2 linked regions of the Struthio camelus genome follow. The protein of the gene in region 1 purifies or fractionates together with the protein of each later gene. This does not show direct contact. Links are inferred from orthologs where the notes say so. Each region holds a gene or a part of one and is shown in the gene's direction. Other genes may lie near its edges. The genes, in order: LPIN2 and FBXW11.

Evidence for each region.
Region 2: the proteins of LPIN2 (region 1) and FBXW11 purify together in Homo sapiens (affinity purification with mass spectrometry; 4 studies listed by BioGRID and IntAct, with this or other methods). This does not show direct contact. The link is inferred for Struthio camelus from reciprocal best matches to the Homo sapiens genes LPIN2 and FBXW11.

What each region holds. Positions count from the first base shown.
Region 1 is NC_090943.1:118,917,079-118,932,833, forward strand, and holds the start of LPIN2 (phosphatidate phosphatase LPIN2), read left to right. Parts: upstream 1-9,085; 5' UTR 9,086-9,423; coding exon 9,424-9,510; intron 9,511-15,755. UniProt on the Homo sapiens protein: Acts as a magnesium-dependent phosphatidate phosphatase enzyme which catalyzes the conversion of phosphatidic acid to diacylglycerol during triglyceride, phosphatidylcholine and phosphatidylethanolamine biosynthesis in the endoplasmic reticulum membrane.
Region 2 is NC_090954.1:20,655,092-20,670,822, reverse strand, and holds the start of FBXW11 (F-box/WD repeat-containing protein 11), read left to right. Parts: upstream 1-7,750; 5' UTR 7,751-7,784; coding exon 7,785-7,829; intron 7,830-14,409; exon of another isoform or gene 14,410-14,540; intron 14,541-15,731.

The sequences.
Region 1 (15,755 bases):
GGGCAGGGGGGAAACAGTCCTGCCTTCTCCTCGCCGCCAGATGCGTTAGACGGGAATGGCGCGGGGGGGGCGGGAGGACTCTGCCCGCCCGGCTGGCGAGGGCCGGGTGACCTCTGGAAGCGCCTTCCAGCCCTGCGGTGACAGGAGGGCGGTGTGCCGTTTTGAAGCCTCGATTTTATTGGCTCTGCTTAGCGTGGCAACTCTCGATTTTGAAAATCGTGATACGTGCCTTGCTGCTCTGGCTCCTTCCATTTTACGGATATGAATTTCTTAAGTTGCTTCTGTTAACTTAGCTGCAGGGCATTCTTGGTTTTAGGCTTGGGTTTTTTTTTTCTGTTTATCTGCCCTAGTAGAGGGAGCATGAAGTGTTAATCACTCAAAGTACACTGCCTGCATTCTTTGTGTATGCATTTGAGTTTTTGCCAAGTGCCCGTCTAGGTTATTTTGTGTGAACTGCATTTTTCCCCTCGTTAAGTGGTTACTGAATACATGTTGGAGGCATCAGTAACAGCTAGGCAGTATGCTGTTTAAACATGTGCGTTTTCATCCAACAAAATGACGTAATGAATTTACCTCTCCTTTGCCTGCATTTCATGTTTCCTCACAGATGCAGTTGGGCTAGTTGTACAAAACGTGATCTACGCACTGCCTGACTTCTGCAAACAAAAATTCATTGCTGTTATGAGAGTGCATTTATTAACCATGTCCCATAATGAGTACTATTTTAGGATCCTTTCTGAGGGGAAGAAGATAATAGACAATCCTACAAAACTCAGTAATTTTTAAAAACTTTATAATAGTATTTCTCAGGTCAGTTTTGAATATTGTGTTTTTAATGTTTGCAAAATAGCCTGGAAGAGATAAAATGTGTTTTTATACGCATTTTAAGAATGTACAGGTGCTCATTAGTCAAAATGAAAAATCAGAAGCCCCCATATGCTTTCACTTTGTATTACGGAAAGCGTGGGCATGGCAATCACTAGAGCCGAGGTTCATTCTGATGTTACTCTGTATATATACATATGTAATCACAGTTTCTATTTGCACTATGAAGAATATAAATGGATGTAAACAATTTCCCCACTTCCTACCAAAAAAAAAAAAAAGCAAAGAACAACCCTTTAGGTGGAGTAAAGGGATGATCTGTGAGATGCTCTTTAAAAACGTATTGCTGTTGTAATGTACTGTTGTTGTACAGTAGAATATTAGAACTGCTGTTTCTAGATGAGCATGGTCACTCAGAATGTCAGGGAGTTTGAGAGAAATGCTGCATTATCTGCTGTTCTTCACTGAACAGTGCTGAAAGGCTGTAGTAAGCAATTGCAGCATGAATTGTTAAGCTTATAGCATAGCTCTTTGGTTAAACATATCAAAATACTTTTATTTTTCAGTGGCTCCCAATACAGGTGGTGTATGAACTTAGGTCTTTCTTATTCATAGCACTTAATGTTTCAGATTGTTGCAAAGTTAAGTTCTTTGTTTTCATGAACTAGAAAAAAGTACATTTGAAACATTCTGGTATCACAGTGTAGAGAACTTCTTGTCCTCACTCTCTACTTCCAGCATTTTTTTTTTTTATTCCTGTGAAGTCTTGATCAAGTATGGCAAAGTATAAACTGCACTTGTTGCGCTTGACATCCCCTTATTTATCTTAAGGGCTAGAAACACCAGGCAGTGGACCTTCTTTGCATTACGTGATTTTTGACTCTTGTCTCTGTCCCAGAGAACTTGCAATCTAATTAGAGCAGGTAAAGTTACTGGCAGCAGAAATAAGTATTTTGTTCAAAGCTTCGTGGGAAACCTTTGTCAAAGCGAGAGGTTAAGTTAGCTGAATATCTTCCTCTTTTCCTGAAAGATTTTCTCATGGTTAATACTCCAGATCGGAATTTTCTTCTTTTTCCATCTTTTAAGTTTTAAGCGCAGAATCAAAACGTGGGGAAAATGGAGAGACAGCTCTTGAAGGTCTCTGTGTGTGATCATAGAATATCTGTGCTAAATTAGAACATTTATATATTTTTTTTTATTTTTTTGGCAAAATAGCTTTGGCTTATATAAAAATAATTTTTAATCATTGTTTATATCATGAATTGCAAATACATTATGCATAACAGTCTGAAGGGCATAAAAGAACAGCTTCTGGTGTTGGATTCAGTACCCCATATTAAAGGGCGTCTACATTGAAAAGCTGTTGAATTTATACAAAATAGTGGGTGATATGTTTATGATCAGATGCTAGTCTAAACCATATGTGTTAGATGTGTTCATCCAGTATTGGGCAAATTCTCAGAATATATTCATTCTCAGAATATATTCATACTCAAAAGTGCTGCATGTAACATACTATATCCCAATGATTCTTACATCTAGCAGCGCTAGTCAGGAGTACTTACTCTATGCAACTTTGATCTCATTAAAGTTGTATTTTAAGATTTTACAACAATACAAAGATCACCTCTGTAAATATCTCAGTTAAGCAGGTATCAGAGAATTAAGAAATTGTAACTAGAATTATGCCATTCCAGCATAGTAAAAATGTATCTGCCATTGCAAAGATTGTTTCATTTAAAAATGAGTTTTTATTTTGCCTTGCTATCCTCTCATCTGGGTTGTTACAGACATTCTTATACTTAGTAACATCAGTGCTTACATTTCTGCTTATGTATCCAGACTGTTTTGATCTGAAAGGGTCATGTCAAGTCAGAATAGCTCAGTCTTTGGGGACTGAGCTCAAGTACCCTTCTTGGGGCGGGAGGATGGAGGTTGATGAATATTTCTTTTAAAAAAATCTTAAAGGGAAGCACAGAAATTTAATATTTTCTTGTGTTTGTACCTCAAGGGAATTTTGAAGTAAGCTTCTCCTTCCTGGTAAAGTATTTTATTGTTATCAGTTTTTCAGCTTTGCAGTAATGTTACCTGCAGTAACTACCAGAAGTTGTCTTGAGTCATTTAGTGCTTTTTCCAAAACTAACGGAGACCTCCTTATTGCTGCCATCTGTACTTAGTGCAGGGATAAGAATTTTAACTAAGAAATTAATCCCTTTCTTTATTCAACATTCTTAAGTTCAAGACCAGAGATTTAAAATATTGTAAGTAATAATAGAAAAGTCTCCAGTGCATCATGTTAGTCTGGGTGGCTGAAGTCGAAGAATCACAGAATCACAGAATGGTTTAGGTTGGAAGGGACCTCTGGAGATCATCTAGTCCAATCCCCCTGCTCAAGCAGCGTCCTCTAGAGCATATTTCCCCGGATCACATCCAGACGGGTTTTGAATATCCCCAGTGAAGGAGACTCCACTGCCTCTCTGGGCAACCTGTTCCAATGCTCTGTCACCCTCCCAGTGAAGAAATTTTTTCTCAGGTTTAGGTGGAACTTCCTGTGGTTCAGTTTCTGCCCATTGCCTCTTGTCCTGTTGCTGGGTCCCAAGTCAGCACGTGCTAAGCCAATTGTAGGCTGTGTCTTTAGACTTACCAGTCTTTTTAGACTGCATAACTGTCTTCACAGGAAATGTACTTGTCCTGGGTTGACCGTTATCAAAGGCCTTTTGAAGGAAATATGCAAAGAGTCACTTACCAAGGTTCTTGCAAAGAAATGCTTCAAATAATGAAGTCATAACTGAGATTCCATTATAAATGGAATACATACTCTCTCACTTAACTAATGATAGAATTTAGTTTGATATACTAACTGAAGCATAGTGATTTTAAAAAAATATCTGAGTGGTGCCTTAATGCCTTTCATTCTCTCTGTAAAAAATATGCATGTTAGCAGACATAAGGAATCGGCTTTACAGATTTGTAGTGACCTGTTATGGATGATACAGACATGTTACCATATGCTAAGGGTGAGGAGACATATCTTTCAGAGAGACATGACCTTTATGTTCATTAAAACTTGATCAGTAATACAAATAGCTTTCCCCTTGTGAATGAGGAAGCATATGCTGCTTTGCTCAGCTGTATCTAATTTACCCCATTCCAGTATCTCAATGCTATCAACACGTTTGTGTAGGAATTCTGAAAGCCTAGCATTTTTGCCTCATTTTCTAATAAAATAGCAGTCTTATACGCAGATTAAATTTGTGAATTTTTTTTTCTATTTGGTACATATGCAGCAATTCAAATAATAATGAGAGTCTATCAAATAAAAAAGGTTTCTTATTTATATGCACTATATTAAAATTAGGGATTTAGAGCTTCTTGGGTATGCCTTATATGTGTTTCTCAGAATAAGTATATTCCTGGAGAGTGTCTTGTCAACCTGAAGATATGTCCTAGTCTCATATCATTATTGTATTCATATGTCCGTGCTGAAGGTAATCACATTATTCACTGCTAAGTATTCAGGATGTTTTCCATGCTTAAATATGCATAGATGTGTTCTTTTCCCTTTTTATTTTTTTTCAAATGCTGGGAGATTGGAAGAAAATATAGATAGACCTGAAGTGCATGGCAAGAAACTTGCTTAGTGCTTTTTAGAAACATACAAGTAAAGCTTCATCTGCTTCTTCCAGCTCATGTAAAAATGAGACAGATGGAGTTTATATTTGGAAACTTTGGTTTCTGCTATATATTTCTGGAAGAAAGTTCAACCAAGGATGATGTAGCTGTAGAAGAGTCTGTTCTACTGGAAATAACTATCTGTCAAGCTATGCCAGAAGACTTCTGTGGGATATGCCCATGTAGGTTCTGAAGGAGTGCAGTCTTAATGTAGCCAGTTCTTCTCAGTAACTTGGAGGATGTTAAGGATTACAAGCACATAAAATCTTTATGTGTGCATGTAACTTCAGGGTTTTTTTTTTGTGTGTGTGTACGTGGTTGAACTGATCATTTTTATCAATAAAATCATTGTTTTGACCCTTACCAAAGTATTGTTTCTTCTCACTGCAGTTTTTTAATAAACAAAAAAGTAACTTAAAAGGACTGAAGAAAAGTCTCATGTTAAAACAAGCAAAGGTGTGCTAATACTGAAATCGGAGGATTCAGAGCAGATCATACAGATGTATCTGGTGAAACATTACAAAAGCAAAAAGCCCATGTAAACTGTGCATTTCTTTTCTTGCTGTTGCGTTTTTTCTTACTGATCTAAAAATATTTCCATTGAATTGAAAAATACTCTTAGCTGAATGCTTCTTGATTTTATTGGATGGAAGATCCTGCAGAGATTGAATTTACCATCTAGCTTTGCAGATGGAAAACTAGAAATTTGATTTTTTTTCTATTTTAATCAGCTACTTTAGAGGGCAGTGCATTGCTTTTGTATCAGTAGTGTTTCTCTAATATCTGTTAGCATGGTATAAGAATCCAAGCAGTTATAATTACTTGCGATAGGGTTTTTTCTTTATTTTTGTATCTGTTTTTTTAAAAGCTGGGAATGATGATGGAAGCAGGTAACACTGCCTATTCATTTTGTTCAGCATTTTTGAGTAGAACTTGATTTTTAGTTGCATGTAACTTTGCTAATGGAAAAATTCATCCCATATAATTATATATTGGACATCTTCAGGCTTTATAAGGAGAATTTTAGCAAATATATACTTTTTTTTTTTTATAAGAGGTGAAACTCGATGGTATGTGTCCTCTATACTAGACGAAAAACTCTAGCTATTTTCTCTTAGAAAAGTCCTGGTATCCCCCTCCATAGAGATCTGAGACAGATGGTCTTTATTCAGGATGTCTTCTGTTATTCATGTGTAAATTTATTTGAATTCAGCAAAGCGATTAGCCTTTGAAACAGGCGTAAAAGCCCATGATGGGTATGGATAGACCTTTGCAGTTAACTGCAACAAAGATGTTGCATTGAATGTGTTTTATCCCCAGATGGACAGACCAGAGATTTATTTCCAGTTTCAGTAGGCAGATGCTTCAGGTCAGGGCTAACATCAAGAACTTGGATGCAAGAATTTATTTGCTTTCATGCACTAGTCCTGTCTGTCTCTAAACAAAGTTGTAAAGTGCCTGATTCTTCTTTATATATTTTGAAAATCAGACTATGACTGAAAACAAAGAAGTGTGATGGATATAGGGTTCAAAGTTGGGGTTTGGGGAGAAAAGTCCTTTTCCAGTGACGGTATGAGGTATGGGACTGAACTGGGGTGCTTTAGAGTTAGTTGATACGGAAAGGAAAAGGTTTTGGAGTAGGATGGAGTGAAGAAGACAAATGGGATATAGAGCCTGTCAAAGTAACTAGGATCTTCTGAGCAAGGAAGCCTGACGTTGAGGGGTAGAATGAGAGAGGGAGCCAAGGGTAAAGAGTAGACACAATATCCTCAAGCTTGATGAATGAGTACAATGGAACAGATAGTATGTGTACTCGCTCCCCTGTCTGTAATGAATCTTGGGATCCTGAGATTCTCACTTGCTCCTTTTGCTAGCAGAAATCAGGTATTTGCTGAATGTCTCTGGCTGGTGTGGAGAATAACAGCCTATGCCAGTTGTCCGTTTTAACTCAGATGATAGGGGTCGTTGTGGTACATCCAAAGATTCAAGGCCTCTTGAAGATGTAGGTAGTATCGAAGTAATCATCCTCTCTCTTGAGAAAATTCCTAGGCTTCAAAGAAGGGGGGAAAAAAACCACCACTTTGTTAAAGCATTCATTTGGACAATAGTTTAGTGAAAAGTGGGATGGAGGATGTCCTATGCTTGTTTATGTATTTTGATTTATTAATTATAGAAAGATAGATTTATCTCATTCATAGCAAATTTACCCCAATCTGTGAGTGAATTGCGATTGTGTACGGATAGAAGCTGATATCTGTAGGGTTCCTGCTTCCTACTTAGAAGGAGGTACAGAGATGAAAGCTGGGGAAAGACATCCTGTAGCCGTGTTCTGGCCACAGTTCTTCTGCAGTTCCTATACAGTACAATCAAATCACTTAAATGAAATTTTCACAGGCAATTTTATATATCTTTGGAGGTAATGGTCAACTGCGGTATGTAAATCTGATTTGCAGCTAAAAGGAAGCCTATGGAAGCAATATTTTGAATATATAACAAGGTATAGAATGCAAGGAAGCTGTGGAAGGTCATGTTTTAACTGTGCTAAAATAAAATAGGTATTTTTAATTCTTGGCCAGAGTTCTCCACTGGGTAGGAAAAAAAAAATAGTGCCACGTTTCTCTGGGATGCTGTAAAAAGAAATGAATGCACTCCAGTATATTTTGAAGGTTACCATAGAAAAATACCATTTAAAAATGAAATCATACTTTGTATCAGGGTTTTTGACTAACGTGCAATGAGATAAGGTGTGTATCCCCACAGAGAGCAGTCAAGAGAACATAGGATGTTAACTGATCTCTGTCAGCAGTGTCCCCTTTCATCTGGGGCTAAACCACAGTAAATTCTGCCTGTACCAAAAAGCTGAACTAAGGTTGCGTGGAAAATGTTACTTCTAATACTTTCTAAATTTGCAGTATTTACTTTTGAAAACTGAAGCTAATTTTCCTGTTTAACTTGTAAATTAATAGTGTAGCACTTAAAATGTAATCCCCCCCCCGATTAAGTTTGTTTTTATTTAGCTTATTAATATTGAGAAATAAAAGCCAAGGAGGTTTATTAAGTGTGCAAAACTTATTACCTGTCTAAATCTTATCTTACTGCTGGTGCTGAGAAATTAATGCTGTTATTGCAGTTTTACTTGTATTCCGGAAAGACTGTCTTTGAAAGCATTTTTAGAAACTTTGAAGAAATTAATGCCAATCTGAAATACTGAATAATTTTAAAATATAGTAGGTATGACAGAAAATTGTACATGAAAAATAAAAGGTAAGTCAAAGTGTTTGAAAAGAATCAGTATCTTACAAAGCTGGTTTTCACTCTGCTCATAAACTTCCCTTCTTCCCGTATTTTAATGGAACACGTGATATAGTCAAGAATGGTGAACAAGCAGAGGAAAATTGAGTGTTATAGTTATTCTTAATATCTTATGAGCGTACATCACATCTTTGCTAATGAAACCAGTAACTTTTCCTGCAAAGAGCCACATTAAATGTAAAGTTGTTCAATACGTAAGGAAAGCTCCCAGTAGCAGCAGCAGTTTATTGTAATCTTACTGCATATGTAGCAAACCCAACACTCTGTTTAGGAGTCTGTCACCAAAATTGATTTAGTTTTGGTCTTGGGTATAGTCCTTGTATTATTTTAGAAATCTAGAAGCCATTTAGTTGCATCCAATAAGTGATTCATTGTCCCTGCAGCAGAGTTTAAAGTATCTGTTAACAAAACTTCTTAGAGAAGGTTAGAGTGAAGGGGTCAGCAGAATCCTAGACAGGCTATTTTCATTTCTAATTCAAGAAGTAGACCTCCACAGTCTTCTATAGCAGATCCGAAATAGCACAGGTGTTAGTGGGGAAGATGCATGTGTTTAATGGAAGAACTGTGAAAGAATGCGTCTGCGTTGAGGAAATACAGTATTTCCTCAGCGAATGATTCTCAGTGGATATGTCTCCCGTTCCTAGATTTCAGTGGTAGAACTATTTCTTTATAATACTGTGCTTCCTCAATTATTTCACAGCCATGGTATTATTTAGAAAAGTAATGCTCTTTTAAAATTCCTCAGATTAAAAATGAATTTTTATTCTCAGTCATGGAGCTGGGTATACAATAAACCTGTGTGCATTGTCTGCACACCCAAATTATACTACATTAACAATTTGAGTTAAGTAGGAAAACTTCCACGGAAAAAAATGATTATTTTGATGTACCTTATTTTTGTGTGTTTTCAGTATGAACTTCGCACCAGAATAGTTATCACTTTCTCCTTTTAAAATAGCGTTGGAACAGTTTAAAAAAAAAAAAAGCCCCAATTTTCACAAATACCAAACCTTGAACAGTCCCAAACAGTCAGATTTGTCCCATGAAATTTGCAAAGCTAACTTAGTGAAACCATCAGCAGAGGCAGTAGGGAGCACAGAGTGGCAGCTGGCGTTCTTTAATTCTGTGTGCTGCTGAACAAGAACTTCCAATGTTGCTACAGGTGATGAAGTTGTAACAGTGGTGTGAAAAGTCTCCCAGTGAGCTAATGTAGACATGGCTTAAGAATCATTAACTAAATCCGGGGTAAGCTTCACCCAGAGTCATGTGACTTAGTGTATATCCAAGATCATTACCTATCAGTGCAGACATATGGTAAAGTCTGTCCATGTTATTACTTATCTTGGAGAGTGCAAGGGGGCTGTGACATTTCAAGCAAAGTCTATTGGTGAAGGAGTTTCTATGTGAGTTTTCTTAAAGAAGCACTTCCTTTTTAATCATAACCCTATGTGAGAAAGCATACCAAACATTTCTCTCTAAGAGACTACAGACCAGAAGATTTACCTAACTCTTCTGCTTCTATGAAAAGAGAAGAAATGCTGATACAACATTATGTTATGGCTGTAAGCTTTGCATTTACCTGTACTATGGAAAGTTAGTTTGCTGGGGTTTGAGATGCATTTCTCGGAGATGTATGATTTTGAAGATGACTTCAGTGGAGGTGTTTTTGCTGCCCATGAAAAGGTTCCTTCTGGAATCTTGGTGAGTTTGATGTATTTATTGTTAAGTATGGGTATATCATTCCCTATAACATAATTAAAATGTTTAACAATCTGCTGACTGTACTTAATACTACATGGAAAAACTTGAATTCAGTATTTAGCAGACTTGCTTGGTTTCCCGTTTTTGTTCTGTAAGTGCTGTGTGCAGTGCTAGGAGCAATCCTAAACCACAGTTAAAATCTTTACTTAAGAGCGAAGCTGTCTTTGTCTTGTGGGGCGGGGGGGCTGTTGCGTATGTTTGTTTTTACAAGTAGTCTTGGTGCTACAGTGGTCCTGTTTTATATGTTCATTTTTTTTCCTCCGGTAATTTTAGGCAACAAAACAAAGATTAGTAAAATGCTTAATATAAACTTTTCTCTGGTTAAGCAAAGCTCGTTCCTCATAAATACATACACATAGAAATATAGGCAAGAAAAGATAAATAGAGGAAAATCAAGGTTTGATTTTTGTTTTGCCTTTCTACCTGATCTCTTAAAACAAATGCAACTTCACTATTTACATCATGTGGTATTAGACTACCTTTTAATCCTCTAAATGCAACCCAAAATAAATTGGATATATTGATACTCTATTGTACGTTAAGTTCTATGTTTAAGTAACTTTTTCACAGAGACAGTGGAAATTCATACCCACTAAAAGTGTTTCTTTGTACAGTAAAAACATCTGATGGCTTGCCTATGAGTAATATGCACTACTCTTTTTTTAATGTTGTTGAGCCAGGCATTTGTAGTGATCAGTACGAGGCACTACAGTCAGTTATTGGAGACCGATTAAGTTAGAATGGTACACCTGTATCAAGCATGTTGGCTTTCAGAATGAAAAAAAGAAAACTGTTTACCTTTGTTAAAGCAGTGTTCCAAATGCACAGAAAATGCAAGTTTGTGGACGGTCTTTTGACTGTTGTGTGCCTGCACGTGGGTATTCCCAAAGGATGTAAAATAAATTATTCAAGAAAACACATTGGTTTTGTAGTAGCCAAAAGTAACTGTCTTTGCTTAATATTGTGTGGAGAAAATCCCTCTCCACAAAACCTTCATCTCAAGTTATACAAGCATGAGCATTTCCTGGTGACTGGTTTTGAAAATTTAATTTGGTATCTATTGTATAGAATACGTTAGATGCTCAATCTGAGCTGTAGTAGTGTTTAATCGTTGTTTCTGAGAGCTAGTCAGAAACTCATCTTACAGCATGAGAAGTCAACAAACATATGCAGAGTTAATTTTAGTTAGACTGATTTGAGTATTTTATAGATGGAGACACACAATTTTATTTTTTGCTTTTGAACTTCCAGAGTAAATATTTTCTTTCCGTAGTTTGTATTTACTTTTATATTCTCAAGAAAACAAAAGTTTCAGTTTCTATCTTTTGCTGCGTAATGGCTTCTTGCTAGAAAAAAATTTTTCTTCGTGATATAGGTTAGCGTCTTTCAGAGATGTCTTTTCCTCCTTCCCACTTACAGTTGCACTTATCTTAGTCATATTAGTATATTCATCTTGTAAACCAGGAAATATAGCTTAAACATTCAAAAATCAATCTCTGATGCCCCCAAAGTCACAAAAACTGTTTTTTTCTGCTTGGAGTTCTTAGCTATTGCTTGGTTTTTTGATTTGCTATCCAACAAGAATAAATAGTACTGAGCTAACTCAATTTTAGCTTTTACCCAGAGTTCTGGAATTTGACTGCATCAGGTAATGTGTATACTCTGGATATCAAAATAAATAAAATTTAAAAGCTAAATAGCATTGGCTTAACTTGTCTTTTCCATCAGACTTCTATCTTGAATTGCAGAACTGGAAATTGGCATGCTTTTTAGGTTCTTGTAGCAGGTTATGAAGGTAAATTGCTATCAGCTTCTCTCTGCTTTCAGAACAATGACATTTTTAACAATTTTTTTTTAAATCCTGAAATAACTAAGGGAGAATTTTCTAGGAAATTCTTTGCCTTGCCTCTTAATCTGCGATCTGAGTTATTTCTATCACCTTTGCAAGAATTAAACCAATGATATGTTATATTGTTGCTATTTTTAGTCAATTTCTGCACCACGCGCTTCAAGCTTTCCAACAATATGCAATAAAACTTAAAGCAAAACTCCAAAGTCTCCTAGCAGGGCTTCTCTTGACATTTCAGCTAAATGTAACATTTCATCTTTCTCAAGTTATGTATTGATGTTTTACTTGTAATTGAACATTTGCTTGCAACAATTTGGACCTTTCTAAGTAGCGAATGTTTTATCACACAAACTCAACAATTATGTTAAGAGTTGAACTTTTATTATAGTCATCGTCTTGCAGTTTTTATTGTTTTTGAATGGGAACATGTGTATCAATAAAGGTGGATAAAACCTTTTAAGTTCTGATGTAGCTTTTTTTTTTTTTTTCCTCCGTGGCTCTGCCTTTGCACGTAGTGATTTTCAATTATAACTGCTCTGTGGCTAGAATGTTGTTTTTCTGTAGGGCTAGAGAGCTGCTTATTTCTGGAAGATGCTTTGTAAGCATTATTTTGCACAAAGGATCTATCTAGGTGACTTTTGGATCACTTCCATCCCAACGCTACTAAAGTACCACCACTTCTGATGTATTCAGCATGTATTTGGTCCTTTTGTCCCCACACCTTTTTTCTGGTAGTGCCTTCACTACGGAAAAGTGGGAAATCTTTGTGATTCTGGTGATAATATCTAAATCCTTCTCTATAAATTAATAATACAACAAAAAGTAAAACTACAACCTGATAGGCAATAGTATAAATTAGTGTCCAATTTAGAATTTTATTTACTGACAGTGTACAAGACAATACTTTCTTGTAAAACTTAGGTTATAAAAAAGCTCCTTTCTTTATAACTCTCATTTTTAATACTTAACAGGTTCATATTTTTCATACAGAGAGGTTGTATTATTTATGTATGATCATAAAAGTGGTTTTGCTGTAGGTTAAACAAATGTAACTGAGATCTTTTAAAGAAATGACTTTCCTTACTGGAAAAGGAGTATGTGTATATATATACCAACTGAATGTTTTCGGTCCTGTGAATTTTTTGGGGTGGTTTGCTGTGGTCAGGCAAGGTCAGTTACCACATCTTTGAGGAAATGTAGAGTTTTTATCAACTGAACTCAGTTCTTAGCTGCTGTTATGTTGTTCCAATCCTTTAAATACTTGCTACTGAAATGATAGAAAATGTCTTGCTAATGTCCACTTTTCAAGTCCTGTTCACTGAAATGAAATATATAGAATAGAGTCTCTATTAAGAACTCCTGTTCCTAATTGTGCCAAACATTTCTTGTAGCAATTTCAGTCTCCTTGGCATCTTGAAATCAACTTATTTGGGTAAACCAATACAATAAGAGTCTCACTGGAAGTGGTCAAAGTGTAGCCATGAATCACAATAGACTGTGCATCAGAATTTTCCCCTTAACTTAAAATATGGTTTGGCTGTGGGCGTAGAGGAGAAATAATTGTTTAAACAGTAAAACAGAGATATTGCTGCTTTTCTGTCTCGGGTTACAGTTCCATATGATGCAGCAAATAATAGCTCACTTATCAAAAGGAAGATATTCTGTTCCTTGCTGCAGCCTTTTCTTCCAGCTCTCTGGTGCTGCAGCATGCCTCACAACTGTCTGGTGTTTGACACCACCTTGTCTGTGAGCTGATCTAATTTACTAACCTACTGAAAGAAAAACATGGGTAATCTTCTGTCAGCTGTGTCAGTGAGCTAAAATCAGCTCATTAAAAGGGTGTGATGAGGAAGGGATGAAGTGGGGCCTTCCCTTTTTGGCAAGAGTGAGCTATTATTTCAACTCAAAACATCTCTGCTAGCAAGCAGTCAGTTTTGTAGTTGTACATAAAACTGCTTAGAGATGAAACTGAATTTTATTACTTGCTAATCTATGTTGTTAGGGAGTCCATGCAGCTAATCTCATTAGTCACTCTCCGATAGCCTATTCTTTTTGCCTTCATCAACTATACTGTAGAAAAACTGCTGGAGAAAAACTCTCTAGCATGTTAACTAGCCTAGTAGTTCTGTGCATAATTTCAAAAGAGGTTTAAATCTGGATAGGCAAGCCCTCACCTTCCCTTTAAAACCTTGTAGAAAGGTAGGAACTTTTTTCAAAATATGTATGTGATTAGGTAACGTATGTTAGCCTTGAGAAGCCTGAGGTGGAGAAAAATACTTCTAGAGCTGGCTCAATCTCCTGCATATTTACAATTATATTGGCACCATCAGCTGCTACAAAAAGCCAAACTTCTGAATGACTGCAATACACCCTGTGCTACTGCAAGAAGACTTTGAAAGCTCAGAACTGAAAAAATTGTGTAATTACCTAGATGATGAAAACTGTATCAGGAGGAAGAACTCTTGCAGTGCAATACGCAGTAGTCTTTAGAACCACTAAGAAAAATCCTAATCACGGTCTTGAATTGAATTTGAAACCCTGTTCAGAGTCTAATAGAAATAAATGAGTATATAGACAAAGAAATTCACTGTAAGCTTATTTGTAGAAATATTATACTAAAATTAAATTTTTACAATTTAAGCCTATTTATATGTTTGGTGCTATGTGTTTTGCTTGTCTGCAGTGGCTCATTGTTCTTCCGAATAATGCCCTTAACTTCAGAGTCATGTAGGTGCTTGAATATATTTGAAATGAAGTTGTAGCAGTCTTTTGGCAGAAGGGTAGAATGAGGAAGAGCTGCACTTCCAGCCTCCCTGGGTACTTCCCATTAGAACACCTTCGTTGTTTTTTCTCAAAACATCTGAGCTTTAATAGAAAGAAGAGAAATCTTTGGGCTTCATTTCTTCTTGGCTGTCACGATTCACACTGTTCTTAGTCTGAAATGACTAAATTATTCAAAATGCCACTTAAGTATTGTAATGGCTTAGACAGAATATTTGATAAGTGGTTGTATGTGTTCTTCATCTTTGCATTTCTCTTTTCTGTCTAGTGTTTGACTATAGCATAATCTTTCTGTGTATCTTCCTTCTCTTGAATTCTCTACTATACTCTCCACTCTTGTCTAATATGGACTTCTTCATCTAGACTACCTGTTGTTCTTGTCAATTTTCCTGCTGTCAGAGAGTATGAACAGCAGCAGATATTGTAAAAATTTGTTCTCACTTGACTGAAACTTTGTGAAACCTGTGGAAAGTAGTTAGTGGATAAGATAACTCTTTATATTTAAAATAATGTATCGCATGAGTGAGTAAACTTGACTAGGACTTGCTTTTCGTATATGAAAATGTAGTATTTAAAACTTAGTGCTTATTTTTTGTATATAATTTCTGTAGAAATAGTGGTGGTTGCTAGCTACTAGGTCAATGTTTGCTTCTCATAGATGAGAAGAGTGTTCAGGACAAGGTCCTGATACTGCTAGATGTGCTATATTTTCTCTGAGCAAACTGTACTTCAACAGCTGCTTTAAATACACATATAAGCTTCTTGAAGCTGTATACATTGTAACTATACATGATAATTGTATAGTTACAATTGTAATTTTATTGTAATTTTACTTTAATCTAAAGCTAATGGAAGAGTCTCAGTAACTTTGATTATCTGGCATCTTCTACCACAGGTAGAAGTCTTATTCGTCTTAGTTTTAACTGCTGAAGATGGGTGGTAGTTCTTTACAAGAAGGCTTTGACAAGTTCATGATTTTATGTTGCAAGAAGTTTTTAGTACTTGTTTGTTGATGAAATACATTCAGTGGTGGTGTACTCTACTTGCATAAGGGAAGAAAAAAAGATTTATTCCATCTGTTTTTTTTCCCCCCACACTCACTCATTCTGCCCAGTCTTCTGGCAGCTTCTGTCTCCCATTAAATCTTTTGATAATTTATTTATGATGGTGCAGCAGTTTTTAAAATACAGATCTGTAAAGGAAGAGTTACATATAGAGGAATTCTACAGAAACGTTTCCTGATGCTTAGATTTTTTTCATTCTGATGTACAGGTACATCAGACCTCTAATTTCAGCAGAAGATCAGTTGTACTAAATAATAGGCAGTGTTCATAAAGTGAATTGGTCTTTTTAGCTTACATGAGGAATTAAGCATTACTTGAATCTAGGCCTATGGGATTTAAACAATACATACTTTAAGATTTACTTTAAAATATTGAAATAATGATAGCTTGTTATGATTTACTTGAGCATATGATTAAGAACATATTTTATAGCTCTGAAGACTGTTAATAATATGAGAATTGGCTCAAAATGCTGTCCACTTCTGAAGATG
Region 2 (15,731 bases), on another chromosome or scaffold:
CTGCGCCCTGGGCAGGTTCCCTGCGCTCCTCGGAGGAACGCAAAACATCCGCTTCTGTAAGCAGACGTAAAGGGGTGTAAGGAGCTCTCCAGAGGGGAACATCGCTCCGGCACGATTTAGCGCCGCGTCGCGAGGACGGCGGGGCGCCGGGAGCACTCTGCTCCGTCTCCGCGCTGCTCCAGCGCCAGCCGCGGCTCATGGGAGGACGCGCTGGTGGGAAGGACGGGTCCCCCGGCGCTGGCCCTACCTCCGCCCGTTTCCTGCGCTCGTGCGCGCTGTAAAACTAGCGGCTTACTAGCTTTAAAGGGAGCGAGGTGCAAGGTAGGCGAGCGGGCAGGCCGGCCACCGGCCAGCTGACAGCGGGCCCGCGGCGGCCCCGGGGCGAGCTCCTTCGCTGCGAGTACGCGAGCCTTTACAGCTGAGGCTACGTCGCTAGGTAATTCAAGTGAAGCGCAAATTATTCTCCTGCCCTTTTGCACTGTCCAGCGCCCACCTCCACGCCAGGATACGAGCTCCAGCGCAAGCCAAAGAGCTGCTATAAGCACGTAAAAGTACAGCCAAGCCTCGGAAAGAAGTGCCGATCCTTTCCTCGTCCTTCATCTGAGAAAAATCTGATTCTCTTGGTTTCCGGCCCTAACGGGAGGGGTGCTGGCCTTCCACTGCTTTGCCCTTGTTTTGCTCGGCGGGGGTTCGAAAAAGGCTGCGTTTAGCCCAGGTTGTGTCACCCGGGACGGACAGCGAGTCCGCTGGACTGGAGCTCGGGCTGCAGGGGTGCGAGAGGAGCGCCAGAGCAGTAATCCTTTGCAAAGCCTGCAGGGCTTTAACAAGTGGGGGAAAAAAAACCACCCTGAAAATAGATTCAGATTAAGGCCCACAAAGGGGCTGGGGCTTTTTCTTTCACTGACAAAACCAATAGGTGGTTTAATCCAACGCTGCCCTGGTGCTACGAATAAAGACCTTGCGTGGGAATCGCTTTTGTTCTCGCGTTCCCGTTAGCCGGGAAGCTCTGAGCTGCTCAGAGCCTCGCGCTGCTCCGCTTCGGTGGGAGGCTGGCCCGAAGGACGCGGCGGCGCGATGCAAGTCCCGTCCTGTCTTTAGCGCCTTCTCCCGATCGGTTATTGGTGGTCTTACTAGTGGCAGGCCACCAGAAATGGCACTTCTCAGGGTATGGGATGGAGAGCAAAGGCTTTCAGACGCAGGAGCTGCTGCCTTGCACTTAGGTTTCAACCTTTATCGAGGATAAACAGGAGACGCGTCTTAAGACGCAGAGGCAAAAATTTCTTGCCAGTTCAACCAATGTTTCAACAGTCTACTCAAAATACAGCCCTGTCGCACGCAGACCCTCTGCCAGCCGCCCGCCTTCCCGGCGGCCCCCTCTTCTTTCTCGCTGATTGGCAATTGCAAACGCGGTCATCTTACGGCGACTTAGTTTTGCTAGACCTTCGCCCTATACGATCTGATTCTTCAGGGTAACGGCCGCCCAACTGCACAAAGCTAAACCAAAGCTAAAAGCAAGAAGTTAGAGGTCACTCAGGCGACGTGAGCCAGCTTTGCGACGAGCCAGCTAGGACGACTCAGACAATGGTCATTTGGCCACTGGACACGACGCTGTTACAGTAAAAACCAAGGTAAAACAAGCCGAAGCCAAGCCACGTCCTTAGGCCTTGGGTCAGCTAATGGCAACGGCATCGTTACCGTGCCCCGGGGCTACGTTATAACCTCTCCTGCTATCGATACCATCAGGCTGGTTTTGAGCGAAGAAGGTTTAGTTCTGTTTTCAAACGGTGACGCGAGAGCAAAAGGGAGGCCGGCAGACCGGGCGAGGGGAGGGCGAACCTACCTGGGGGCAGGCCGCACCTGAAACGTCGGTGAGACCTCGCGTGCCGGCGCCCAGCACCCGCCGTCTGGGCGCTCAAACCTGTGATGTTTTCTCTCCTGTTCGTGGTTTTCGTTCTCTCCATCCAGAACAAGACGAAAATACGTTTTAACTTCTTAAGTAGCCGAAACACGCCAAGGGACCCGACGCGCGGGGAGCCGGGGCGCCCCGCGTCCCTGCCGCCCTGGCGGAGAGCGGCCCGAGCCCCCGCGCGCCGGGCCCTCCTCCTTCGCCCAAAGGGTTTCGGGGCTTCGCGCCGATTTGTTTTTTCCCTCGTTGCTCACGAATAGTCCTCTGTGCCCCGTCCCCGGGCCGGATGCATCCCTGCCTCTGCGCTATGAACTGCCCCTTGGAGGAAGGCAGCTGCTTTGCGCGTCGAGAGGCGCGGCGGCTCTCCCCGCAGCCTCTGCTCTGCGGCACGTGTAAGAAGAGTCAGAAATCCGTTCATGGTTTTCCCGCTTCTTTAAGAAATCATCAAACCTGGTGCCATCGCTGTTTGGATACCAAGTGTTTCTTTGAAGTAGGAATAAACGTTTTCATATTTCAGGCGTACTTTCGTCCCTGCCCTAACAAGAGCGCTTGTTTCTAACCTGCTCTTTCCAGCTGTACGTTAAGTAATTATTTTTCCAACAGGAGCATTTGAAATGCATCTGCCCTTGCTCTCCTGCACTGTGACTTGTTCCTGGCCATTGAGTGATCTCTGATCCCTATCCGAGCGGCCAAATAAACAGTCACAAGATCACGAGACCGAGGTTTTAGTGAGTAGAATATGTTAGGCTGGGGGTTTCAAGCAGGCAATCCCAAGTTTAGGAAAGCTACACCCACCGAATTTCATGTGAGCATTTAGCGCCGAGCGGCTCCATAGAAAATCCCAGAGTTAGTATTTTTGCCACCATGTTTCTTACTTTTTTTTCATCTCCTCCCTGGTGTGAGGCAAACCTGCCTGCAGCCTTGCTGCGTCCTTCCAGTGGCTGCAGCGTGACCGGGGGCAGCTCGGCACCGGCAGGTCCCTCCTTCCTTCCCTTCGGGTCCCGGGAAACCTGTCTGGGAGGCACCTGTGTTAGACCTTCTGCCTTTTATCATGGCGCTGTGCGTGTTTATAATCAAGTGGGAGCCGTGAAAGACGGGCAAAGCGGAAAGGATGATTACCCTGCGACGGGGCTACTGGTGGCCAAAGAACGAGACCTTGCAGAAAACTGAGACAGGCTTGGAAGTAAATCACATTAGAGAAGATTTGGAGACTGAACAACTGGGTCACGTTCTAGCTATGTTTCTCTACTCTAGCTCCTAAAATTTGTTTCCCCTCTCCCAGAGAGCTCTGCTTCTCAGCACGCAAGCGCTAGCCGGCCTCTTGCTCCAGCGCTCAGGCGCTCGGCAGGGCCTCTGGGCCATCGTGGGGCTCCTGGCACAAGAGGGCATGTTAAAACCAGGGCGCCCGCCCGTGTGATGTCGGCCCGCGGCAGCGCGACCCGGTCTGGCGGTGCGCGAGGAGAGGCCGGGGCCGACCGGTGAGAAAACACCTCGCGCGAGCGCGGCCGGCCGGGGCTCGGCGGCGAGGCAGCCGCGGGTAGAGCGAATCAGTATGTAACGGAGTGAACGTCTGAGCTGCTGTAAAAAAATCATGGGCTTAAAAGAGGTCGCAGCGTGTTGTTTCAGCCCAGCTGAAACGCTGCAACGTGGGGCCGGGCCGGGGCCAGGCAGCCTGTCCCCCGCCTCGACGGGACGCGCGGTGGCTCAGGCGCCCAGGGCTTTCGGGGCAGCGCTGCTCCCTGCAATTCGCAGCTGCTCAGGTACACCCGTCTGCGGCTCCCAGGCAGAAAGGCCTTGGCACTTGGCGTGCTCGCTAAGGTTTCCTGGGTTTTTAACGCATGGTGACCTTTGCTTAGATATCTTTAGGATTACACCTACCTTAATTAACACATATAAGATGTATATGCTTATTTCTTTGCTTTGTCTTAGCACTCTGGGGAGAGGGAATGAGCCTGCAGCACAGTCCCCCGAGAAGTCTAGACACCTCTCCCTTGAGTTAATGACGTCCCTAATGAGGGAGGAAACCTTTCTTCCTCCTCCAAATCACCTTCCTTCAACCTTAGCTGATACCGGAGTTAAACAGGATCTTCCAAATGTAAAAGCACGCTCTGCTGACTCTCAGTCCTGTCCAAAACGTCTTGTCCTGTTGCACGACGTGAAGGTACCTTTGGTTGCCTCGCTCTGGGGCTGGGGCTTTCCCACTTCCACTTCCCCATCCTCGCTGAAAAACTGGCAGAACTGGTTCTCTTAGGCTGAAACTAACCCACCACCGTGTTGTGCTTCCACCTGAATAAGGTCATCATTAAAGTTTAATGACTAGCTTTGCTGCTGGTTTGCTGATCTGCAGATCCGTGACACAGATCTGTCAGCAAATAGCGAGTTACACATATACTGAGGATGTATTGATAGGGTGTCATGTGAACCAGAATTTAGAGCACACATGCATGCAGGCATGTTCCTCAGATTATTGTAGTGACAGAATTAATATATTATTAGAAACAAAGCACTTTGACTTTATCATAAGCAAGTGTTTCAATAGAATCTTTTTGTATCTCAGACTAAATTTATCAAAAATCTGGTTCTTCATCCATCTTATTACACAGTCCCTTGGACAAGTTTTTCAGTCTGGACCGGCTCCTGTTAATAATCACAAGTTGCTCAGAAACAATCTGGCTTTAGTTTGCAGAACACTGTATCATCTGGTCTTGCTTTTCTAGCTGTTTAATGCTTCCCTTAATTATTTTTCAACATTCTTCACAGTTTTCTTGTATATTATAGCAATTGTTTTTTTTCTGTCAGTATGACTAAAAAAATGTAGTTCTTTACTCAAGTTCCAACTGACATCTTATGCCACAGTTTCAAAGAACTGTCCATATTTCTGTAGTGTTTGCTGTGGTAATGCACTAACCACACTCACATGCAGATTGTCAGTATTAGACTAAAGCTTACTTTTGCTTCAAATAAACGGAGCAATTTTTGCCTCTTCTGTTTGTTTCTTTTCATATGACTTGGACAATACTGTAATTGTTCACGTTCAGGAAACTAGCCTGAATGTACAGCTGAACTTTGGAAAATGGCTATGTAAAATGGCATCGTCTTGCTCAGCAAATCTGTGCCCTGTGTATATTTAGGACTAGACATGCTGATTTTTTACTTTGGTGGCACAAACAAATATCTGTTGGCTTGTTTGCTCCCCAGAGTGAACAAATTAAGAGAGAGAGAGAGAGAGAGAGAGAGAGAGAGAGAGAGAGAGCGAGCGCGCGAGTGAGTGCGAGAGACCACGCACGCAAAAAGCAAGCTGGATTTTGTTCCACCATGTGCGTTGGAAGCAGATTCTCAGTGACACCTTTATAAACTTGCAGAGGTCAATGGAGTTATATAACACGCAACACTGCGAGTATAATTTGACCTGCAAGTCCTTAGTTATAGGTAGTGATGTAAAAGTGGAAAGAATTCAGCTCAGCTGTCAGTCTGAGCTTCCAGGTTTGATGGAGAAAGCCCTCATACCTTTTTCACGTGGAAAAGGAGCATGTCTGGATAAGGGTTAGCGGGTGCTTACGCTGCTTAAGCTGACATGAGCGATGGTGCACGAGCTGGGGCTTTGCAGTATCAATTGGAGGGACTTTTGGGCCAGTGTCCAGTGACGGCTGCAAGTTTGGCATTCACTTGGTCTAGAACGTAAATGTCGCAGCTTCTAGGGCATATCAAATTTTCACTTTCCTCCCCAAGATATTGAGCAGTGGCAGTTGTTTAGGGCGAGGGAGATCTACTGGTCTTGAATTACATTTTTCAATTCTGTGAAAGGAGTGACGACCTCATTAGTATGCTTCTAACATTTTTATGAATAAAATACATTTCTGTTGACACCAATGTACTGTCAAGCAGGATGCATTTCAGTAGGGAAGGACCTTGTGCCATTTCAATGTTCATGCTCCATCTCTTAATTAAATTTTGAAGTGGTTAAGCAGGCACCTCGGCTGGGGTGGAGGGAAAAGCTTGGGATGAAAGCTGCTGAGTCTATTTTCATCCCAGGTGTATAGTACTAGTGCTATGCTGTTATACCAGATTGCTGCTTATGACATTTTTGCCTCTAGTTTTCAATGCCTACAAATGCATTCGGTCGCTGATGCGTCATCAGTTTGCAGCCTGTGTGACCTTGGCAACCCAAAGCACCTGAGATCTCATTGTCGCTGTTCCCGTCCCGAGCCTCACCGCCACTCTGGCTGCCCCCCTGCAGCCCAGGCTGCATCTGCCAGCCCACCTCGCTGTGCCAGCGTCCACAGAGGATGTCTGCAAGCAGACAGCCTGCGAACAGGAGACAGACCCTAGAGGTTTGGCTGCTGAAAAAGCAGCTCGTTGCTAAGAGCGCAGGCTGCAATTAGTTAGACGGAAATGCACGTGCGACCACCTTATCCAAGCGTTTCCATGTTTCCTTACAAATACGGGGCATGTGTGCTTCTTCTCTTCAAACTTGTGCATTCAGCCCTTTCTGCCTACATCTAACCTAGACTGCGAGTTTTCTAATGGCAAGAGGGCTGTCTGTTTGTTTTTCCAACGCAGTGCAGGCTGTCCATCAGCATTCAGTAAATAATACCATTTAAGTATATCCATGACTGCTTTGATCTTCATACTGCACAGAGATAGCCACTGAGAAGCTGAAGTGGCAATAAAAACAGCACTAGGTCCTCCACTCGTAAAAGCTCTGACGCTATTGCCTGACTGAGAGTCGCCAGCAGTGCAAGCCCTGAGGTGCACGACGAGACGGACTTACTAAATAGCGTTGCAAGATTGACACGTGACTCTCTATAGCATCACACCTTCTCAGTTAAGCAGATTTTGTCTTCAGGAGCTGATGTTTTTCAAGGCTTCTAGTTTCATTTCCTAACGCTACTGGAAAAAATGCACACAGTTTCCTGTCTCAGAGGTTCTGTAAAACATCCCACAGATAACGTTCTGCAAATTTGTTGTTTTTATGGGGGAAAACGTAAAAACAATACTTGAGCACCAACAGCATTTTAAGCAAAGGAAGGCTCCTTCCCCAACCTTAGGTTCAAACACAAGTACCCTGAAACTCGCTACAGGCTTGATTTAGAGCACGCTGACGACTCTTGCTGTGGCAAGCAACGCCTCCTTACCTGTTACACCCGGGAAAGAGAGGTGGTCTCTTATATAACTATTTCTCACGGTACTGCTACATGCTCGAACCGCTTCTGATTTTTTTCCAGCTGTCAGCGCGGACTAAGCGGCTATTACCCAGCGCTAGCAGGGAGGGGAAACCCTCAAGTCACGTAAGGGCTTGTAACAGTTACCCAACGAGACGGCCGCCTTTGCGGAAACGTTACTACTAATAGTTATCCAGACGCGAACGCGACGCCGGGGCACTGCGCAACGCTGTGCCAGGCCTGGGCCTGGCGCTCCTCGGCCGCCCGAGCGCGCAGCCGCGGGCCGGGCCAGGCTCAGGGCTGAGGCGCGCTGCGGGCCGGGCCGGGCCGTCGCCGAGGTCCCCCCGGACGAGGCCCCCGGCGCCGCTCGCCGGCGGCAGCCCCACCGCGGCCTGCGGGCCCGGCCCGGCGGCCGCCGCCGGCGGAGAGGGGCAGTTCCCGGCGTGCCCTGCAGCCGCGGCGGCGCCGCGGGGGCCGCTGGGAGTTGTAGTTCTCCCGGCGCGGCCGTGATAAGGGGGGGCTGCGGCGGGCAGCGCCTTTCCACTTCCGGGCGCCGTGACGCTACGGGCGCCGTAGCGGTGCGTGCGTGCGTGCGTGCGTCGGGTAGGGGGAGGGCCGGACGGCGCGAGCGGCAGCGGCGGCGGCGGCCCGCGGCGGGGCCTGGCGGGGCGCGGGGGGGGGAGGGAGGCGGCGCCTCGGCGGAGCTGCCCGCCGCTATGGAGCCCGACTCGGTGATCGAGGACAAGACCATCGAGCTGATGGTGAGTGCCCCCCCGGCCCCGCGCCGCGCCGCCCCCGCCCCGCCGCAGGCCCGGCCCGGCCCGGCCCGGCGGCGCCCCGCGGGCTCCGCCGCCGGGCCCGGGTCCCCCCTCCCCCTCCCCCCCGCGCCGCGGAGGTGACACGGCGCGGCCGCGCCGCCCCAGCCCTGCCCGCCCCGCCGGCGGCGGCCCCGGCCGCTGCAGCCCGCTGCCCCAGGGCACTTCCACGGAGAGAGGCGGAAAAAAAGAGAAAAGAATAAAAAAAACCAAAATTAAAAATAAAACGGAGGCCGGTGCCGGGGGGAGACGCGGCCGCGCTCCCCACGCTGGAGCGGAAGCGCCGCGGCGGCGCCGGTGCGCCCGCTGCCGCTGCCCGGGCTGCGCGGCCCTGCGGCGCCCGGCCCGGCCCGGCCCGTCCTGCCGGCGAGGGTGCAGGGCGCGGGCGGCTGCCGCGGCCCTGCTGCTGCTGCTTCCCCCCCCCCCCCCCCGCCTTTATTTTTTAAAATAAAACTTCCAGCCGGAAGGTTTTAGGCTCTTCAGCAGGCGTTCTTGCTTAGGCGGCTGTTTGGGGGACAGCGGAGTGAGCCTGCGCTGGGCGAACGTATGTTTTCCAGCAGCAGCTCCGGTAGCGGAGCTTTCACGAAAGGCTCAATGCAGCAAACGCAGTATTATCTAACTAAACCTAATTGGTGTGTTTGTTATAGCCTGTAATTAGCGTTTATGCCGCTAAATTCAGGTTAGTGGAGAGGTGGCCAACTGGAAGCGGAAGAATGAGGAAGCTTTTTTTTTTTTTTTTTAAACGTAGGGAGAATTTATATTTCTAGCCAAATATTAAAGGAGAGTGTAGTTAGCTGTCTTCAAGGAAGAAGAGAATTAAGTTTGGAAACTAGTAAGGATAATCACAAAAACATCTTCTGCTGGTTTATTTGTCATAAGCATAATTTACTATTACATACGCAATTCCATGCAGTACTGCAGAACTGGACGGTAAAATTCTCGTATTGCTTTTAAGGCACTCCGAAGGTGTGCTGAGTTCAGGCAAGACGTGAGATGGGCTTTTCAGTCAGTATAGTTTTTGCTGAACTACCTTATCTGAAAAACTTGAACTTTCTTGGAAGGTTATGTTCTATCAAGAAGCAAAAATAGTAATAATAAAAAAGATTTAAAAAAAAAAAAAAAGATAGTCCTTTCATGTTTGTTTCCGATCACTGAGAGTTCTAGGTTAAAAGCTGCTCTTAATGAACCTGCTTTCTTGATCCCTATTGATTTAATGATCTTGCACTAAATGTTGGTGACATCAGAACTGTTCACATATTAGCGGACTGCAGCATTAAGAATAATGACTGGTGATATCTGTGAAGGTGTCTGTTACAGAACAAGTCATTTACAGAAAAGATGTCTGTAACATTTTTAATTGTGTAAAGTGAGTTCTAGTGGCTTTTTTCCTTCCTGTAATGGAGGGTTACTAATGCTCTTCGGCCGTGGGTTATAGGAGGTGCTAAAATAGAATTTGAAGGCTGGAGGGTACGTTTGCCTCCTACAACTTTCTTGCTTGTCTTTTTGTAACCACTCTCCGATTTTAGAAGTCCGTTCTATTTCTGACCATATTGCTAACAAACAGAAGCAAATATAACTTTTGACTACTGATAACTGTACCCTCTGTTTACAGCTAATCCTGGAGAATGTGTTAACATAAAGACAAATACTGGAGTTACTAAGATGGTGTGTGTTCTATAGAAGGAGGTTTAAGAAACATTTTTACCTCTCTCATGATAAATTCATAAATATAAAATTTTCATAGGATGAATAATGAATTTTGTAATTTTCCCGTAGGAAATGATACTCAGTAAAAATGTAGCTAGTAGTTGAATTTAATTTTCTTCTTAGTGAAGGCTTGCATAGAAACGCTTGAGTTTATTTTAAATGTTCCACTGAACTTCATAAATGAAGACGTGACCCGAGAAGGTTTTGCACTCTTACGTGTTGTAGAAGATGAGATTTTCTGGAAGATTTGTTTAAATAAACAAAGCAGAAAGCGAAGTAGTATCGATAGAGTGATTTCAATATCGTATACAAACTGTGATATCAGTTGTTAATGATAGTGACAAATCTCCCTAAACCAGGGATGAGCTTAACAGGCAAGACTTGAGTGCTGTTGTGTTTAAGAATCCTTTTGCAAGAAAGAAGGTACAAGTGTTTGTTTACTAAAAGCAGGATGTTTTTATGCCTCTTTGATACAGGAGATTGTATTTTATGCACTTTTGGTACTCGATCACTTCCTCCCAATGCCAAGGATGAATATCTAGCATATACAGGTGCAAATGAATGATGCAAAAGTTCTGAGGAGCAAATAGAATACAATTCTCAGTTACTGATAAACAAGAGATAATGTGTCAACATGTTAATTACACAAGAGTTTCAGAACGTGATCTTCTGGCTGTGAGCTGTTCCTTAACTGGATAGATCACTTGCATTTATTTAAAGAAGAATCAGTGATGGAAATAAAACTGTTCTATTTTTAGCTGGAATCTGAGTGAAATATTTTAAGGTTTCAAAGTGGCAACTTTCATTTGCCGTATGAAGTTTCAGCTTGTGCTCTGAAGTCGCTGTGTCTTTTAGGACAGCTTAAGATTTTGGATATCTTCTGGTTTTGTAAGTCATGTCATCTAGCCTTTTTAATGTTGTCAGGGTTTTAATCTTTGGTGATGAGCAATTGATCTAGTTATGACACTTCATGGCTTTCATTTGCTGATGATTTCTATCTCTATAGGCAAGATACCCTTTGCCTGTAAAAGTGATTTCAGGAAGTGCGAGGCCTAGAAGTTTAACGTGCATGTTGACTGCAGGAGGTATATGTTTACACTAACAGTTTCTCCGACAGGATTGTCATTAGTTTAGATATCTTAGTACTTACATAGTTTTGGTTAAATGCTTTGTATGAGTGGACAAATTATTAGAAAGCTAGTAGTAATGAAGTAATCCAGAACAGATGGAGGACCAGCTGAAATGATTGAAAAGGCTGTTTCTTTCCCTGATTTGGATTTTCTTTGTGAAATTGGGTAACTGCAACCTTTTTACTCTTTTAAAGAATCAAACTTTTTTTTTTTTTAAGGTGAAGCACCAACAAAAATGATTTGCGAAAAATGTTTTGTTTTGTTTTTTACCTACAAATTCTGGATTGTGGAGTAAATCTATAATATTCAGTTGCATCCAACCCATTATTCATATTTGTCTTGAATGCTTGGTAAAAACCTTGTGTTTTTCACTATTAGAAAGATTCACTGAACCGTACATTTGTTTTACCAGCAGGCTTTTAAAGTAGGGGACTATTAGCATCTTAGTTTGTGCTAATGTGGTTGTGAATGAATACGTAAGTAAGGAAAATGTAGTTCTTACAAACAGGATAAAAAGGTACGTGTTTATGGGATGAACTGTGCAGCATGAGATACGGATAGTATAAAAACAAGTCTTTTGCTCTCAGACTCTTGTGCCCACCAGACACCTATTAACGGACATGGTTACTGAAGCAGGAAGCCAAGTGTGTGTTAATATTCTCATTTACTGAGCTTATTATCATCTGTCTTTCTGCTGTGTCCTTGATGTGCATGCTGTTCTACAAACATAGATCCCTGTGCTGCAGAGCTGGCAGTTTGAATTGAATATAATACTGCTCAGTGGTAGTAGCATGAAAGGGTTATGGGAAGACCATGCCTCGGAATAAAACTGACAAGCGCTTGTTGATGTGGTATTGTAACTTATATTTTAAAGTTTTTTTACACACACACACACACACATGGAAAACATTCTTCCTAACATATTACATTTACTCTCTAGAACACCTGTCCCTTGTGAAAGTGTCAAGTGTTGCAGTGCCCCTTTGTAAACAATAAACAAAGAACTGTAACTGAGTATCTTACCAGAATTCTTTGCTTCTCTTGGTAGAACTTTGGTGTGAGCTGAGGGTCTTCAGATTCAAAAGGTAACAATCTCAGAATAAAGTGTTCCACATATAAATGCCTTACGAGCAGCAACTTCTTCAGTAAATCGTGCCAGTAGTACCTGAAGTTCCTTGGGTTACTGCAAGTGAAGATTGTTTTGTCCCCAAACTATTTAAAGCGTTATAGTGCAAAATAAGTCTTAGTGTTCTGCTTAGAAACTAAGACTATAACTGCTGTATATATCTCAGTAGCGCTAAAACATTTTGACTTTTTTCTTCTCTGTCTCAGTCGTTGCTAACCAAGCAGGCAGCTACTTTTTTTCCCCAAATGTTCTTAGAGTAATCCTTCAAAGAGTTTACTTTTCTAGTTATAGAGATACAGATGGACTTAAACAATGATCATATTGGCATCTGAAACAAGGGAGGTACTATTCTAGCTTAAATATGACTGTGTTTTGTCAATAGTTCTTAGAGCCCGAGAGTAGATGGAAAACTAGCAAGATGTTTGGAAACCTGTATGTTAGCTAGTTGTGCTTTCTCGCAGCAGGATAGCAAACTATTGGTTTTGCAGTTATCTTTTCTAACCTTCAGCTGCTAAAGTGGCAGAGCTGAGAGCTGCATGTCAGATGTGTAAATGTGCAGCCATTAGGATGCTGGATAGTTTCATGCAAAAGGGAAAAAGGCGAAATGACTAGAGTGGGTCTGTAAAGAGGTGAGGGTTAGATTGTCCGTTTGGAAGGTACGGGAGAGCCTGTGGGGCACGGGATGCAAGATCTGCGCAGCGACAGGGACTGTCAGGTTGACAGTCACGTTTCAAAGAGCGCCTGTAAGAGGAAGGATGAGGATATAAAGAGAATGGATTGCCATGACTTTGGCAGCGGTGCAGAAAACGGGAAGGAAGACCTTAAGAAAACGAATTCAACTAGACAACTCGGTTCTGAGCCAGCAGAATGATGATAAAATGAGGGAAGTGGACAAAGAATTGCGGAAAGCTGTCTTTTGGGGAAGGGTTAGATGAAATAATAGAAAGAGCATGAGTGAGAAAATGGGACTGAGAAGGGACATGGAGAATACAAAGATGTAGAACAGAGGTTACAAATTAAAAATGATCTCAAATGCTGACTTGTGATTATTATGGCAGCAGCCTTCAGTTTATACAGATGAAAGAAAACTGCAGACGTTCCATTTGGAGGGAAAATTCTGAAACCAAATTGCTTTTAGTTGCTTAATGTAGGAAACTTATGGTTTCTCCGGGAGATGAAAGATTGGTGTTTCACCCAAGGCTTTTTAAATCTTGTTTGAGATACTGAGATTTTTTTTGCCTCACAGTTCAGTTAAGTTTTCTCAAATTATTATTTTTTCCAGCCTTTGCAACGATGCTGAGCAAGTAAGATACAGCAAAGTCATCTTGTTCCCGGAAAGATACACATTAACTTCCTGAGTTTGTGAGCACTGCTGGATAGTTTTCAGGGCAATATGTTGCCTGTGAACTCTGGTTTGGGACTGTAAGGTCCTGAATTAAGTTTGTAAATCGAGTGTACAGGTGTCAGTGTGGAATGAAATCACATCTCTGCAGGCACACTGGTATGCACACCAGCTGACCTCTCTAAAATGCTACTGGGTTGCTCCTTTAAAAAGTTGTAAAATATGCATTTTACATATGCATATGCCATTTCTGCATTTCAGACCATGCTGATTGTTTATCCCTTAAGCAGAGCTGTTGAATGTTGCTGAAAATTTGGGTCACTGATAAGCATTGCACCAGCACCTTATCAGAGTAAACTAACCTGACTTATAATAAGCTGTACCCTTAGAGAGACCGGGGAATGTTATTTGAAGGATGGATGTACCTTTTCATTTCACGTGTGTTTTCTAAAACACCTTCACTGCTTGTCAAATCAACTTGATGTATGTCTTTTGATGCGTTACATTTTATTGCTGTAGAGTGTAGAGGTCATTGTTGCTTTGGCATTTTCAGTTTCATCTTAGATCTTGCTCTGCTGCTTTGAGTGCTTGTGCAGTAGTGCAAGCTTTATGGGTTCGAAATGAAATGGATGTTGCAGCAAATGTGCCAACGAGAAGAATGATGTGTGGGAGAGAATAAGAGACGATGGTTATAAGAGTGCTGCTCTGTGGCAAGTCTTATATTTATTTTATAAAGGAGAAAATAAATTGAAGAGAAATGGCAATATTTATGGAATGATTTAAACTAATGCTGATTAATAACACACTTACATTCCAGCTTTTTTCTTCGGTGATGTTTTCTTAAGCTCAATGCCACTGTTGTTATATAATCTGATTTTTTTTCAGTTCGATTTTCGTGGTATTGATAGCACTTCATTGTTCAAGGAAAATCCCCTTTTTCTGGAAAATCCCTTCCTTCCTTAGTTCAAAGGTATATTTCGGTCTCAACGGTGTGACGTTTGACAGTCTACTCCATTTTCCTGTACTACTTTCCACACGCTTCCCAGTACGAGTAGTGCGTGACGAAGATCAGATATTGCAAAAGTAACCCAGTGCCTTTTGTGTTTTACTAACAAAGAACACTGACTCTTTTTGGAAACTTAATTTGCTTCTAATGCAAGGCTAAATTAACAATGGGAGCGTTTGAAGGCTTATTGTTTCTTCCCTGCTCTGTTACTCTAGGGCCCCTCAGGAAGTTGCATCCCTGTTCTTCTACCTACCCTGAGATACTGAAGTTTTCACTGGGGCTCAAAGAGTAGTCCAGCTTCCCGGGTGCATTTTGTGCAAATAGAGATGTAAATCGTAAGACACAGGTAGGCACCTGTTGCTAGGAATAGAGACCAATGCGCTTTCTGTGTAAAATGGTAACAGCTGTGGGGGTCAATTTTTAGCTGTGGCATAGTTTTAAAATTTTGTTGATTCAGTGATTTAGAGAAGAAAGACAATTATATATTCAGTCTTACAAACTATGTGGCTGTTTTGAGTTTAGCTTTGTTGAAGAATTCTTGCATATTGAATTCTGGTGCAAAATAAGTTGCGACAACTTCTATTTGTCTCTTCTTGAGGCGCACGTTTGATGTCAAGATGGCTCGCCTGATGACGCTTTGTTCAAAGCTTTTAGCCTTTTAAGTCCTGCTGATTTAAAGTCTTCAAACAAAAACATTTACAGCTTCAGAAATCTTCAGAATCTATCCGGTGCAAAAATTACTAACTTACAATTACACCTTGTATTTGATAGAGATACTTTTAAGAAATTCTATCTGGGCAGCAAACGACTAATCAGGGAAACTTGATATTCAAGTAGCCTCCATCACTCCACTACTTCTCAAGAGAAAAATCAGATCTGTGTTGTAACAGTACCAAATAACTTTTAACGAATGCCTTCATGGTGAAGTGCATCTCCTGACATCCCGCTGGCTCTGTTGTTACTCAGCAAATCAGTACGTTTATGTAACTTTGATAGTGGTCTTGTTACTGAGCTGTATTGTGGTCTTATGCTTCTGAGTCATATGCCTTAACATCTTACCGCTTTACTTGGCAGCCTTATAAACCATAGATTGGACATATCATCGAACTCAAGTGCTGCTTTGTCCTTGAAATGTTGTTCTGTAATAGACTATTAATTTACCGTTGATAAGCAGAAAATTAGCACGTAACGTAGATATTCCTTTCTTGAGGTAGCTCTGGACAGTCACGGACGTATGTACTCATCGACACAATTACTTGGCCCAGCTGCGAATAGTGGCAGTTTCTTCCATCCTTCTCCAAGCTGCTTGCGTTTTGATACATGGGGCACTGCTGTGGAGGCTAAAGAAATGCTTGATTCATTTTCAGGAGAGGCTGGTGAGGAAAGGGAGCGTGTGAGAGAAGGAGGTAGCGTATTCTTCTATGGATATTGCAGCGTTATGTTTGAGAGAATGATGCTGTTTCTGGCTGTTGTTAGGGGAAGATATTTTTTAGGCTGAATGTCAAACTTTTTAACGGCTCACAGTCTAGCCTCTTTA